Oryctolagus cuniculus: one gene and its partners. The protein of the gene in region 3 interacts with the protein of the main gene of each other region in a biochemical or structural test. Links are inferred from orthologs where the notes say so. Each region holds a gene or a part of one and is shown on either strand. Other genes may lie near its edges. The genes, in order: MCM3, AMER1 and KEAP1.

Region 1 (3,530 bases), on a different chromosome or scaffold from region 3:
AAAGTGATCTCTAGTAACCTAACACCGCTGCCCTTAAATTTAAATCTTTTGAGGTTAGTGGTGTTCATGCAGATTATCACAGCAGGAAGACTCTCAAGTTCAAAACCCTGCTTATGTGACACTGACATGAACTCTGGGAACTTAGATATGACCCCAGATCTTGTACTCTAGCCCCATGCTATCTCCTGGGAGCCCAGCTTGGACTTCTTTACACGCCTTGGTGAAAGCACTTTCAGAACATCACTGCACTGAAATCTTAGAGTATCCCATTTATTCAGTTTAAACCTGTTTCCCCACATCTACCCTTTCTTTGATCTTAGTTTTGTTTTCTGAAGATTGTATGTCACTTGTCTTCTTAGCTCTCTTTCAGCTGTTCCTCTCTACATGTGAACCTATTGCTGTGTGTCAGAGATCCTCTCAGTGAACCTAGAATTCAACAAAATATGGCATTTTAATCATCTTGCTGGGGTTGGTAGATCCCTCAATTTGTATTCTCTAGAATGGACCTTGTACTGGAGGGTATAATCTCCAAATTCTTGTAACTTTCTAAGGGATTAAAAGATTTGGTGACTAGATCTCTTTAAATGTGAAGGAGTGGATATAAATGGAAACTTAGAAAACATGCAAGTAAATGTGACCAGAGCAGATCAGTAAAGGATCATATGAGGGGCAGTGGGAAGGTGCCAAAGAACTAGCCCTCTGTCTGTTCTTCTCTGGACTTGAGCTACTGAAAGATTTGTTCTCAGATTACCTCTTCTATGCCCTTCCCTTGTAATCTTGAGCAGCCCTTTGAGTCCCGTTTCCTTCACCTGTAGAACTTTTACAGATTATTCAGAAGGTTAAATGACAGAATGAATAGAACAGCAGACTTCTGGCTACATTGTATGCCTGCATTAAATGATTATTTTTCACATTTGTACTCTTTCTGGCCTTTTATCTTTCCAGCTGTTAAGATGTCTAAATTTCTTCTTTCCTATTTTCTCTCCCTCAACACTTGACATTTTGATATCTGAGTGTTATTTTGTATCTATAGAGAATGTAGAGCTCTGAATTTTTTGGGTTTCCTGGAGCTTTCTGATATTTTCTAAAATATTTATTTGAGGGACAAACAGAGCTACCATCCACTGGTTCAGTCCCAGATGCCCACAATGGCAAGGATAGTTGGAGGAGTCCCAGAAACTGACTCCAGGTTTCCCACATGGGGAAGCAGGAACCCAACTACATACATCATTACTGCTGCCTCCTATGGTCTGCGTTAGTGGGAAGCTGGAATCAGGCAGTAGAGCTGGGAATCAAATCTAGTCAAGCACTCAGAGATAGGCCTCTTTGTGTGTGTGTGTGTGTGTGTGTGTGTGTGTGTGTAAGATTTTATTTATTTATTTATTTGAGGCCGAGTTACACACAGAAGGAGGGAGAGACAGAAAGGTCTTCCGTCTGCTGATTCAATTCCCAAAAGACCGCAGTAGCTAAAGCTGGGCCTCCCATGTAGGTGCAGGGGCCCAAGAACTTAGGCCATCCTCCACTGCCTTCCTAGGCCATAAGCAGAGAGAGGATTGGAAGAGGAACAGCAGGGACACAAACCGGGATGCCGGAGCTGCAGGCAGAGGCCCATCCTGTTATGCCACCGGCCTGCCCTGACATGGGCCTCTTAACTGCTAAGCCAAACACCCACTCCTGGTGGTATCTCTGTTTCACTTTTTGTACAGTAGGAATGATGGCTAACCAAAGCTGGATAAATGATCCTATCTTGCTTTCTACTGTAGACATCGCCAGTTACAGCCCGAACACTGGAAACCCTGATTCGATTGGCCACTGCCCATGCAAAGGCCCGCATGAGCAAGACTGTGGACCTTCAGGATGCAGAGGAAGCTGTGGAGTTGGTCCAGTATGCTTACTTCAAAAAGGTGAGGATTCCGATGTTTGGGCATGGGAAGACTTGTGAGTAAATCACAGGCGCGTGGACTCAACAACCCTGCACGGCTGACACCTGCGCTGGCTCTTGAGCTGAAAGCAGCATTTGTCTGCCTTACTCCTCCCTGTGGAACAGTGGTGCACAAGCCTGGCTGCTCCTGAGACTCAGATGGAAGGCTTTAAAGTAACAGTGCCAGGGCTTCTGGAGATTATGGTTTAACGGAGCTGCTATGTGTTCAGGCCACTGCTTCTGCCTGCTTCCTTTGTCTTAAGGAAGTAGGTATTTCCTAAGGTTATCAGGGTAAACCTCTGATACCTCTCGACCCCTCTGTACCTTGCTTCTTGGCAGTCTCTTCAGATGTCCCATTGGCACCTCGGGTCAAGAATGAAACTCTCAAACTTGCCTCTCATCCTGGTTCCCTATTTCTGTGTTGAAATTGTATCCTTGTGGTTCTAGATATCAAGCCTTTAAGCCTTGCCTCTTTGCACCTCCCTGCCCCTTCCCTTCCTGTATCTAGTGATGTAGCCCTGAAGGATTTAGTTATGGTTTGATATGCTTTTCTTGGATTTTTCTCTTAGCCAGGTTTGGGGATGTCTTAAATTTCAATTTAATACCTGATTTGTAAAGAAATGAATTGTTTCCTACTTAACCATTATGGGCTGGACAGTCCCCCACCCCCTTTTATTTCTTGATTGAGCATCTACTATGTGAAAGATATCCCAGCATTTTAAAAATAAGTAATGACCTCTCCCTCTGTCTCTGGTCCTGGGACTTGGGGACAAGAGAGGCTGTGTAAGTCATTAGAAACCTGGGAATCCTTTCTGCTGATGCTCAGAAGGGACTCTTCAGAGTTCTTCAGCTTCATAGCGTCAGTGACCCCTTCAGCCCACCCATGCTTGCCTTGGTCATAGGTTCTGGAGAAGGAGAAGAAGCGTAAGAAGCGGAGTGAGGATGAGTCGGAGTCAGAAGAAGAAGGGGAGAAAAGCCAGGAGGAACAAGAACAGAAAAGGAAGAGGTGAGGTGGTACAGAACAACATTGAGTGGGGCTGGGGCTGGGGCTGGGGTGTGGAGGGTGGTTCAGCCCTGCTTACATAGAGAAAGAATACTTGACCTGCAGGGCTTGAAGATCAGGATAACCAGCCTGGGAAAGGAGAGGGAGTGAGTCCCTCTGTTGTGTGTTTTGTGAGGTATTTTTGATCCCCTTCCTGCTAAGGACCTGCTAAATAGCAGGAACAGTCACCCACTCACCGAGGATTTTGAATATATACTTAATAATCTTGAGGTCATTGTTTCCTCCTATGCCTGTGGTTGAATTTATATGAGTGGGTGATATGGAAAAAGAGCATTGTGCAGCAGGGCCTGCTTGTGCTCCAGGCTGCAGATTTGTTCTTTGGTAAATGTAGCAGTCGTACAGGCCTGAGCCTGCTGCTTCATCTCAGTGATAGGTGGCTATACTTCCTTTTCTCCGTGCTTATTGGCACAGGATGGGGCTCCAAAGCCTTTGTCTTTCTCACCTGCTCTGGTTATTTTAGGAGGAAGACTCGCCAGGTGGATGCCAAGGATGGTGAATCATACGACCCCTATGACTTCAGTGACACAGAGGAGGAAATGCCTCAAG
Region 2 (4,030 bases), on a different chromosome or scaffold from region 3:
TCCTTCTGGGCCAGACCATCTCAACCGCAACAGTCAGTCAGCTCACTCACCCTGTCTGCCAGCTACTCTTCCCCACTCCGAATTTTTGCTAGCCCTCTGCCTACAAAGTCCTTGTACTTTCTGACAGCTTCCCAGGAAGATCTCCTGGCATACGCAGGTCTTTCCTCGCTCTCCACAGCAGCGTGCCCCTGAGTTAGCAACCAAAGGTATGCAAAATCTGGGGTCTGAGCCATCCAAATGCAGAGCTTCCTCTTGGGGGATCCATCACAATTTTTATTCTTGCAGTTGGAACCTAGACCCCTTCTCCATGCTCATAAGGCACACTCAGTAAATATCTGAGCCACGTGTATCCTTTCTCGAGTCACTTGCCAATCAAGACAAGCACAAGTTGGAAAGGTGAAGGTCTTCTCAGCTGCTCTACAAAGAGAGCAAGTCCTTGGGAGCATTCAGTAAGTGCCCTGCACTGCTAAGTTTTGAGAGAGTTGTGGCTGAGGTGCAGGTTTCATTTGTTCCTCTGAAGGGTTCTGGGAGAACCCAGACATCCACAATACCAGGGAGACAAAGCAAAGGTAGGGAAACTTAATTACAGTCTGCCTTCTATTATAATTTAAGCCAGAAAATGCCCAGGAGACGCAGGTAGCCCTGGAGGAGTTGGGGGGGGGGCAGTGAGGGAGAAGTCACCATGGGTGGCAAACAGGGAGGCAGAAAAGGCACCAAAGAGAAGGTAGGCCTAGAACTGGGGCCTGCCAGGGAAGAGGATCTGGACAGGTGGAGCTCAGTAGGTTTGGATGTGGGGAAGGGAATTACATAGAGCAGTGAGATACATTAGGGGACTGTAGGCCTGAACAAGGCAGGGGGCACGTTCTACCCTGAACTGGAGAGATCCAGCTACAAGTGGAGGCCTGGTCACGGTGGTCTCTGCAGTCCTGGCTGGTGTCAAAAAGGTCCCCAGCTAGCCTTCCCCCAAGTCAGGGATTTACTGGGTCTTATTGCCCCTCTGCAAAGGTGGCCAGGGTTCGCCTGGGCCCTGCAGTCCACGGGTTCTCCACCCTCAGAGGTTGATCAAAGGTCCAAGCAGAGCCTGCCAGGTTCCTGTTCCTCAGAAAGGCCTACAGAGCCCATTGCCAGAGGTGCACCATGGTGCAGTGCCTGTGCAGTGGGTGGGGCCGAATGAGGGGAGCTGCACGGGGCTGGGGGTGGGGGGCTGAGCTGGAATCCCCACGGGCGGGGCAGGAGGGAGTCCAACAGCGCAGTGCCCTCCACCCTGCCCATGCCCACGCCGCTGCGGCAGGCGGGCAGAGCCGCAGAGGGAGGTGTTTGTGTGCGGGACAAGGCTCGCCTTGACCCTGCGGCCCACGCCGCGGCGAATCTGACCAAACGAAGGCTAGCTCAGCTCTGCGGGGCCAGTCGAGCTGCCGCCTGGGCGTCTGGGCTGCGGCTCGCCAGGCGGGCACAGCCCCCTCACTGCCTGAGCAGCAGCCCAGGCAAAGTCCGGCGTCTGGGCGGTCACCAGTGTCAGAGGTGTCTTTAGCAGACAATGACAGTGGCCAGGCGGGTTGGATATTTTAAGTAACTGCAAAGTTGTCAGGCTCGACTCCCTAGCACCAGCCCTTTCACATACACAGCGACGGTGCGTCCCCTACTACAATGACTGGCTCCTCGGCCTCTGGCACGGAAATTCCCGCACAACACTGCGCCTATGGATATTTTTAAAAAGGAGGCCTTAGAGAAAAGCGCGCCAGTGCCCCTCCAAGGGAAAAAGAGGAGAGGCCGGGGCCGGGGGGAGACAAAGCGGCCTTGCAGCTCTAACCCAAGGACTAGCTTGCGCTGCAGCTCTGACCCAAGGACCAGCAAGAGCCCGCTGCCGGCCCGCCTGCCCGCGGAGGCGGGCGCCAGATGCGCCCGGAGGCCCAGGAGGAGGGGGCGCGGCTGGTTGGGGCCGCCAGGCCGAGGCTCTGAAGGGAAGCGGGCAGCCCACAGGCCTAAGGGAGCTTCCCTCAGGCCCGAGGGAGCTCCCCTAGAGAGGGGGCAGACAGTGTGGATAGGCTAATCCACGCCAAAGCCAGTCCCAGTGGGGCCCGAACCAGCGCGCCGGCTTCGTCCGCAGAGAGGAGGGAGAGGCAGGAGATGCGCAGCAGAGGGGAGGGGCCGCAGCAGGGCCGCTGGGGTGAGCAGTACCCGCGTACCACAGCTGTTCCAGCAAATGTGCTACAACAAAGCTGCGGAGCTCCCGGCCTACAGATGCGCGGCCTGGGGTACTGGCTGGCGGCGCCCCTCCCGGGACTGCGCGGCAGCACGTGCGGGCCCATCCCCGCCTCCCCCAAAAGCCTGGAGGCATGGCCCATGCTAGCTCGCCCTCCCCACCCTCCATACCTTCCCCACCCCCAGCCTTGGTCGCCCGCGCCCAAGGGACTCGCGGCCGCTGGGCCCCTCACGGACAGTCTGTAAAGCGGGCTCCAAAGGAGAGAGGCCAGCGGCCCCGTTCCAACCAGCCCAGTCCTTAGTGCCCTCCTCCAGGCGACCCGAGCGAAGCACGCGGGAATGCACCCGACCGCCCGCAGGCGGAGGCTCCTGGCTGCGCGCAATGCTTACCCGGCCCGGTCCGGCTCCCAGCCCGGTTATTGTCTGCTGCGCCGCCCTGGCCGCGGCTGGATCCTCGGCTGCCGCGGCCGAGAGCGCCGCCACCGCTGCTCCTGGCGCCGCCGCCGCGGCTCCAGTCACCTCCTGCACTGACTCCCCTTCCCCAGGCTTTGGGCAGCTCCCCCATACCCCCTCCCCACCGGACTCCACGGCCACAGGGTGGGGCGTCATTGCTTTGATTGGCGGGCGTATGACCCAATCGCTATGGTGGAAAGGCGTGCCCGGACTGCCCACTGTTTTCCTTGGTGCGTTTCTCTTTAAATGCAAATAAGCGCGGGCGTGGTGTTGGCAGGAGGCGGAGAGGGTGCGGAAACCCTTTCTGGGGCTCCCCGCTCCCGCCCCCACGCCAGGCGGGTTGCGGCGTGGCTACACCGCTGGCTGGATGGGCCGGTCCCTCCCGGATGGAGTTCGCTGGATCCCTGGAGTTCGGTTTCGGTTTTGTACGCGCTCCCATTTTCGTGGCCGCCTGCATTCATTTTTCTGTGCCCTGGCTGCCACCCCGCCGTTCATCCCAGAGCTCTAGCTGGTAGAGAGTTTGGGTGGGTGGGGTCTAGAAGACTTCACAGCCCCTTGGCACCTTGGCTTGCCTATCCTTAGGCGTAGAGACAAGGCCCTGTGGCTCGCACTCCCAGACCACCCAGAGGAGGCACTCACCTGCTAGGCAAGCCAGCTGCAGCTCCCGTGCCCCAGCTTCATTGGTCTCTGTTGCACCCCAGGGCCCTTAGGGAGACTGAGGTCGACTTCCACCCGTTACGGACAAGCCGGCTACTGTCCTGAGAAAGGAAGGAATTTCCCCAAGGTTCCCCAGCCTGTCCTAGACAGGGGCAGATTTGGATTACAGAGCCCCAAACTTCCCACTCAGGGCTGCTTTAACTTTTCTTCTATGGGGAGATGTTTCCCCGTCTTGCACAGAGCCTTCTGGAGATCCACAAGGTCTCCAGAGACCCTTCTCGCTCCCCTTTAACTGTGAGCCTGACTGTCTACAGGTCCCTGTCCCTGGAAAGTCTAGATGTTGAGAGAAAAATCTTGTCGGGGCCCAGACAGGAGGTTGTGCTGAAGACACAGGGAGTAGGCCTGTAGCAGCCTTGCCCTCCTCTCTGAGATGTGGCAGGGGGCCAGCCCAGCTTGGGTCTCTAGCCTGAGGACATTAAGTGGCATTAGTGGCTGCCAGGGCCAGGTGAGCTGAGGCAACAAAGAATCCAGTTCTACCACTAGCTCAAGAATATCCAGAAGGCCCTGCCCTAAAACTGTGAAAGTCTCAAAAGGCAGGAGGGTGGGTTAAGGCTGAGGAGAGGGGGAAGGATTAGAGAACAATGCATGCCAGTTTTGTATTGCAGGAGTGTTCTGTGCTGCTCCACGGGGTCCTGTCTGCCTTGAAAAGATCCAGCTG
Region 3 (4,275 bases):
TAAAGAGAACAAGGACCAGGGTCAGGGCAGCCAGCAGCCTGTCTTCGCTGTCCTGGAAGGAACTGCTGACCAGCGCTTGGCCGTGGTCACGGTCACTGCCTTCTGCCCCTACCTTTGACCCCAGGGAAACCAGGGTCACTGTCCTGGTGGTCAGATGTGTGGCCAGGGCCCTCGATCCTCCCCGGCTCCCCCTTGGCGTCTCACGGGGATCACGCCCTGGGGCGCGCCCCTCCGTGCCAAGCCCTCCCGCCTCCCGGCTCACCTCCCCGAAGTGCATGTAGATGTACTCGCGGGCGCGCTGGTGCAGCTCGGCGCAGCCGATCTGCTCGGCGAAGTTGGCGATGCCGATGGCGTTGCTGGGGTCCAGCTGCTGCACCAGGAAGTCGCTGCAGGCGCGGACGACGCTGTCGATCTGGTACATGACGGCACCGTTCATGACGTGCAGCACGCACTTCTCGCCCATGGAGATGGACGCCGTGTAGGCGAACTCAATGAGCCGCTCCATGACCTGGGGGTGGATGCCCTCGATGGACACCACCTCCATGCCCTGCTCCCGCAGCCCGTTGGTGAACATGGCCTTGAAGACCGGGCTGGACGAGGCCAGCACCACCTTGTGGGCCATGAACTGGGCGGCCGGCGTGTCCTCGTACTTGACCTGCAGCGTGACGTCACACAGCTGCTGGCTGAGCCGCAGCTCATTCATGATCCCGAAGGCCTGCTTGGTGTGGTCCTCCAGCGTGTAGCTGAAGGTGCGGTTGCCATGCTGGGAGGGCGTCACCTCGGCCTTGCACTCGGTGGAGGCGAACATCATGGCGTCCCCCGCCCCCTCGGGGCGCTGTGACTGCTGGGGCAGGAATCGGCTGCAGGCCTCCGCCCCGCTAGGCTCGGCTTCCGGCTGCATGAGGTTCCAAGTGACAAGGGATCACGCCGCCACGGACACTCAGGGGCCTGGAGGAGGGAGAGCACAGGGCTGGGGGCAGGGCAGGGGTCAGGCCAGCACCTGCCAGGCCCTCTTTCGTAAGACAGAGCCATTCCCAAAGCAAACCTGGTGAGGTGGGGTCCGGTGGAGCTCCCCACCTTCTCCTGGCCGTGCCCACCCAGGGGTCCACCCAGATCCTGCCCCCACCCCCAAAACCACACAGGACCCCTCAACAGCTGGCAGGATAGTCAGCTCTTGTCCACCCACTTCTCTCCAGCTCACTCCATCCAGCCATCCAGCTACCTCCTCCCTTCCCCAGTCATGTCAAGTTCATTCTTTCGCTCAGCCCTGCAACATCTATTGAGCGCCTGCTGTGTCCCAGGCACTGTGGTGTCCTGGCCCACACCCCTCTGGGAAGGTGAGGTTGGCGCTGGGGCGCAGGGAGCAGCAAGGTCCGGTCAGGAGCTGAGAGACTCACAGAGGCTGAGGGCCAGGGCTTGAGTCACGTTTTGAAATCCGCGGCACCTGCAAGGCGCTCCCAAGCTCTGGGGCTCAGCCCAACGTCGCCTCGTTCTCGCCCCCCCCCCAAACTCCACCGCGGAGCTTCAAGGGGGCAGGGAGCCCCCTGCAGGCCAGCGCTGGGGCCACCCTCTCCTGTGTGTCCCCGCGTCCCGCCCGCGGCCTGGCACTGCGCAGGAGCCAGTGGCTGGCCGGCTGCCCACGCCACGGTGCCTGCCAGAGCCGCCCTCCTCCACCCTGCCCGGCGCGCCGCTCGGCCCCCTCTCCCCATGCGAGGCCCCGGGCTGGCCTCTGGATCTTTGGCCAATCGGTCAACGGTGCCCCTGGGCACCAAGCACTTCCCCCCCGCCGCGAAGCGACAAGTGGGGGACTGCGCATGCCCCGCCTGAGCCGCCACCAAGGCCTTGGAGAAGCGAGGAAGTGACCCCGCCGCGGCCTCTTGGCAGCCAAGGCCGCAGCGCGCACCCAGCCGTCGCCAACGCCCCGGGATCCCCGGGCTTTCGTCTGCGTGCGCTCCCCCCCTGCGTCTCACTCCCGGCTTCCGTGCCTCTCCGGCCGCCCCGGCAGTGGCGCCGTCCAACAAAACGATCGGACCCCGGCCGCGCCCTCCCGGGGCCTCCGGGAACTCGGAGGCGGCCCCAGGGCCCCGCGCTCCCATTCCCGCGGCCCCCGGCCATGGTCGCCGGGGCGCCCGAGGCCCGCGGCGCCCGCAGCCTGGGCACAGGCCGCCTCACTCACCCCGCCATGGTCGCGCTGCGGCTCCGCCTCCGCCGCCGGAGCCCGGGCGCCTCCATCGCTGCGCGCCGGGGGGAGGCGCGGAGCGCGCGTAGGTCACCATGACTAAGCAGAGCGCGGCGCCGGCCATGTCAGAATAAAAGTCCGCCACCCCCCCACCCCACGCTCGGTGCGCCGCGGCTCCTGGCCCCGGGCGGCGTGGACAGGCCCCAGGCCGCGCCCCCAACCCCCGCCCGCGGTCGCCGGGTTGCGCAGCCCCGGCGCAGCAGCGACCACAGCGCCAGCCACGGCGGGGCGGGGGATCGCGGCTCCGTTCGGCCGCGTGGGGCGTCGGAGCCCCGAGTTCGAGGCCCCGTTCCGCGCCCCGGGATTCGCCGCCACCCCTGCCGGGGTTCACTCACCTCCGTCCCACGGGGTGGGGAGGCACGGGGCACGATGGTGCCACCCGCGCGCCACGCTTCCGGGAAGCCCGAGGCGGGGTGGTGGGTGGGGAGCCGCGGCTCTGCGCGGGGTGGCTTCGGCCCTAACTTTGCTACTGGGGACCCGAGGGCGCCCCCGCCGCCTATGGGGGGGCCTCGGCTCCGGGGCGGCGTGGCCAGCGGGGTCGCAGACGTCGGGTGGGGGGTGGCCTCCGGACTCCCGGGAAGGAGGCGGGGAGAAGGCGCGGAGGGCGCGGCGGGGAAGGAGCTGCGATTCCCCGCCTCTTTCCCCGCAGGTGCCTTCGCGAGGGACCCGGCGTCCCGCAAGGGTGCAAGGCCGGCGGGGCGGGCAGGTCTCGCACCCCTCTCGCACCGTCCCTTCCATCTGGGCAGGTTTCGTCCCTGGGGCTGCTGTGCGCGACACCTGTTCTTCTTATCCACACAGTGCATGCCCGCTGGAGCCACCTGCCTAGCTGGGTTCCTGTTGTCTTTATTTTTCAGTTATGCATGGAACCCACCTGCGGGGATTCGAACCCCCGACCCGCCTGCTGCTAACTCTGCGCCCACAGAACCTTAGTTTCTTCCACGTTCCGTGATGGCGAGGACAAAAGCGCTATTGCTAATTTTTCTCGGCACGGTTGCTCTTGATGACATGAAGTTAACTTTTCAACAGACGCATTTCAAGTTTGAAAAGTGGACAGGCCGAGGAGATGTTTGTCTAAGAACAGGGTTGCTGGAGTCTCCGACGTGAAATCTGGGGGCTTTTGATGTTCGGGCTCTGGGTCTGGGGTTGAACCGGGCTGGGGTGGAGCGCTCCCCACACTGGGCTGTGTGAAGCTGCAGTTCCGGGAAGCTCCCGAGGGGGGCGCTCCAGCCGTGACTGTAACCCACAGCCTCTGACATCTCTCCAAACCAAACCTGCAGGCCCCGTGGGCCAGCCGTGCTGCCTGTAGAGATGTACCCAAGAGACATTCACAAGCGTGCAAAAAAGTGTTATGTGCACAGTCTTACTGCAATATGAGGTCTGTTGTGGCAAAGAATTGTAGCAACCTGCGTGATGCTCCGTGGGCTTGGTACGAAGTGGCAGGGGCTGGTGTTGGGGCACGTGGAAGTAAGCGCCATCTGGCACATCGGCAACCCATATCAGAGTGCCTGCGCTTCCAACCCACCTTCCTGCGACCAGTGTGGGAAGGCTGCAGGCGTGGCCCAAGGACTGGAGCCCCTGCCACCCACGGGAGAGACAAGGATGGAGTTCCTGACTCCTGGCTTCAGCCTGGCCCAGCGTGGATGTTGCGTCTGGAGAGTGACCCACATTAAGATGCCCGTGTCCACACTGCTGCACGTGGCTCCCCCTCCTCTTCCTCGTCCTCCTCCTCTTCTTCTTAAGATTTATTTATTTATTTGACGGCTGGTGCCGCGGCTCACTAGGCTAATCCTCCGCCTTGCGGCGCCGGCACACGGGGTTCTAGTCCCGGTCGGGGCGCCGGATTCTGTCCCGGTTGCTCCTCTTCCAGGCCAGCTCTCTGCTGTGGCCCGGGAGTGCAGTGGAGGATGGCCCAAGTGCTTGGGCCCTGTACCCCATGGGAGACCAGGAGAAGCACCTGGCTCCTGGCTTCAGATCAGCACAGCGCCGGCCGCAGCAGCCATTGGAGGGTGAACCAACGGCAAAGGAAGACCTTTCTC

What was found.
Region 1: the proteins of KEAP1 (region 3) and MCM3 form a complex in vitro, tested with the Homo sapiens proteins (2 studies listed by BioGRID, with this or other methods). The link is inferred for Oryctolagus cuniculus from reciprocal best matches to the Homo sapiens genes KEAP1 and MCM3.
Region 2: the proteins of KEAP1 (region 3) and AMER1 form a complex in vitro, tested with the Homo sapiens proteins (2 studies listed by BioGRID). The link is inferred for Oryctolagus cuniculus from reciprocal best matches to the Homo sapiens genes KEAP1 and AMER1.

Annotation. Positions count from the first base shown.
Region 1 is NC_091436.1:117,750,936-117,754,465, forward strand, and holds part of MCM3 (DNA replication licensing factor MCM3), read left to right. Parts: intron 1-1,763; coding exon 1,764-1,904; intron 1,905-2,823; coding exon 2,824-2,927; intron 2,928-3,444; coding exon 3,445-3,530. UniProt on the Homo sapiens protein: Acts as a component of the MCM2-7 complex (MCM complex) which is the replicative helicase essential for 'once per cell cycle' DNA replication initiation and elongation in eukaryotic cells.
Region 2 is NC_091453.1:44,206,518-44,210,547, forward strand, and holds the start of AMER1 (APC membrane recruitment protein 1), read right to left. Parts: upstream 2,810-4,030; 5' UTR 2,593-2,809; intron 1-2,592. UniProt on the Homo sapiens protein: Regulator of the canonical Wnt signaling pathway.
Region 3 is NC_091447.1:66,950,686-66,954,960, reverse strand, and holds the start of KEAP1 (kelch-like ECH-associated protein 1), read right to left. Parts: upstream 2,816-4,275; 5' UTR 2,575-2,815; intron 2,397-2,574; exon of another isoform or gene 2,177-2,396; intron 1,924-2,176; exon of another isoform or gene 1,398-1,923; intron 971-1,397; exon of another isoform or gene 949-970; 5' UTR 902-948; coding exon 263-901; intron 1-262. UniProt on the Homo sapiens protein: Substrate-specific adapter of a BCR (BTB-CUL3-RBX1) E3 ubiquitin ligase complex that regulates the response to oxidative stress by targeting NFE2L2/NRF2 for ubiquitination.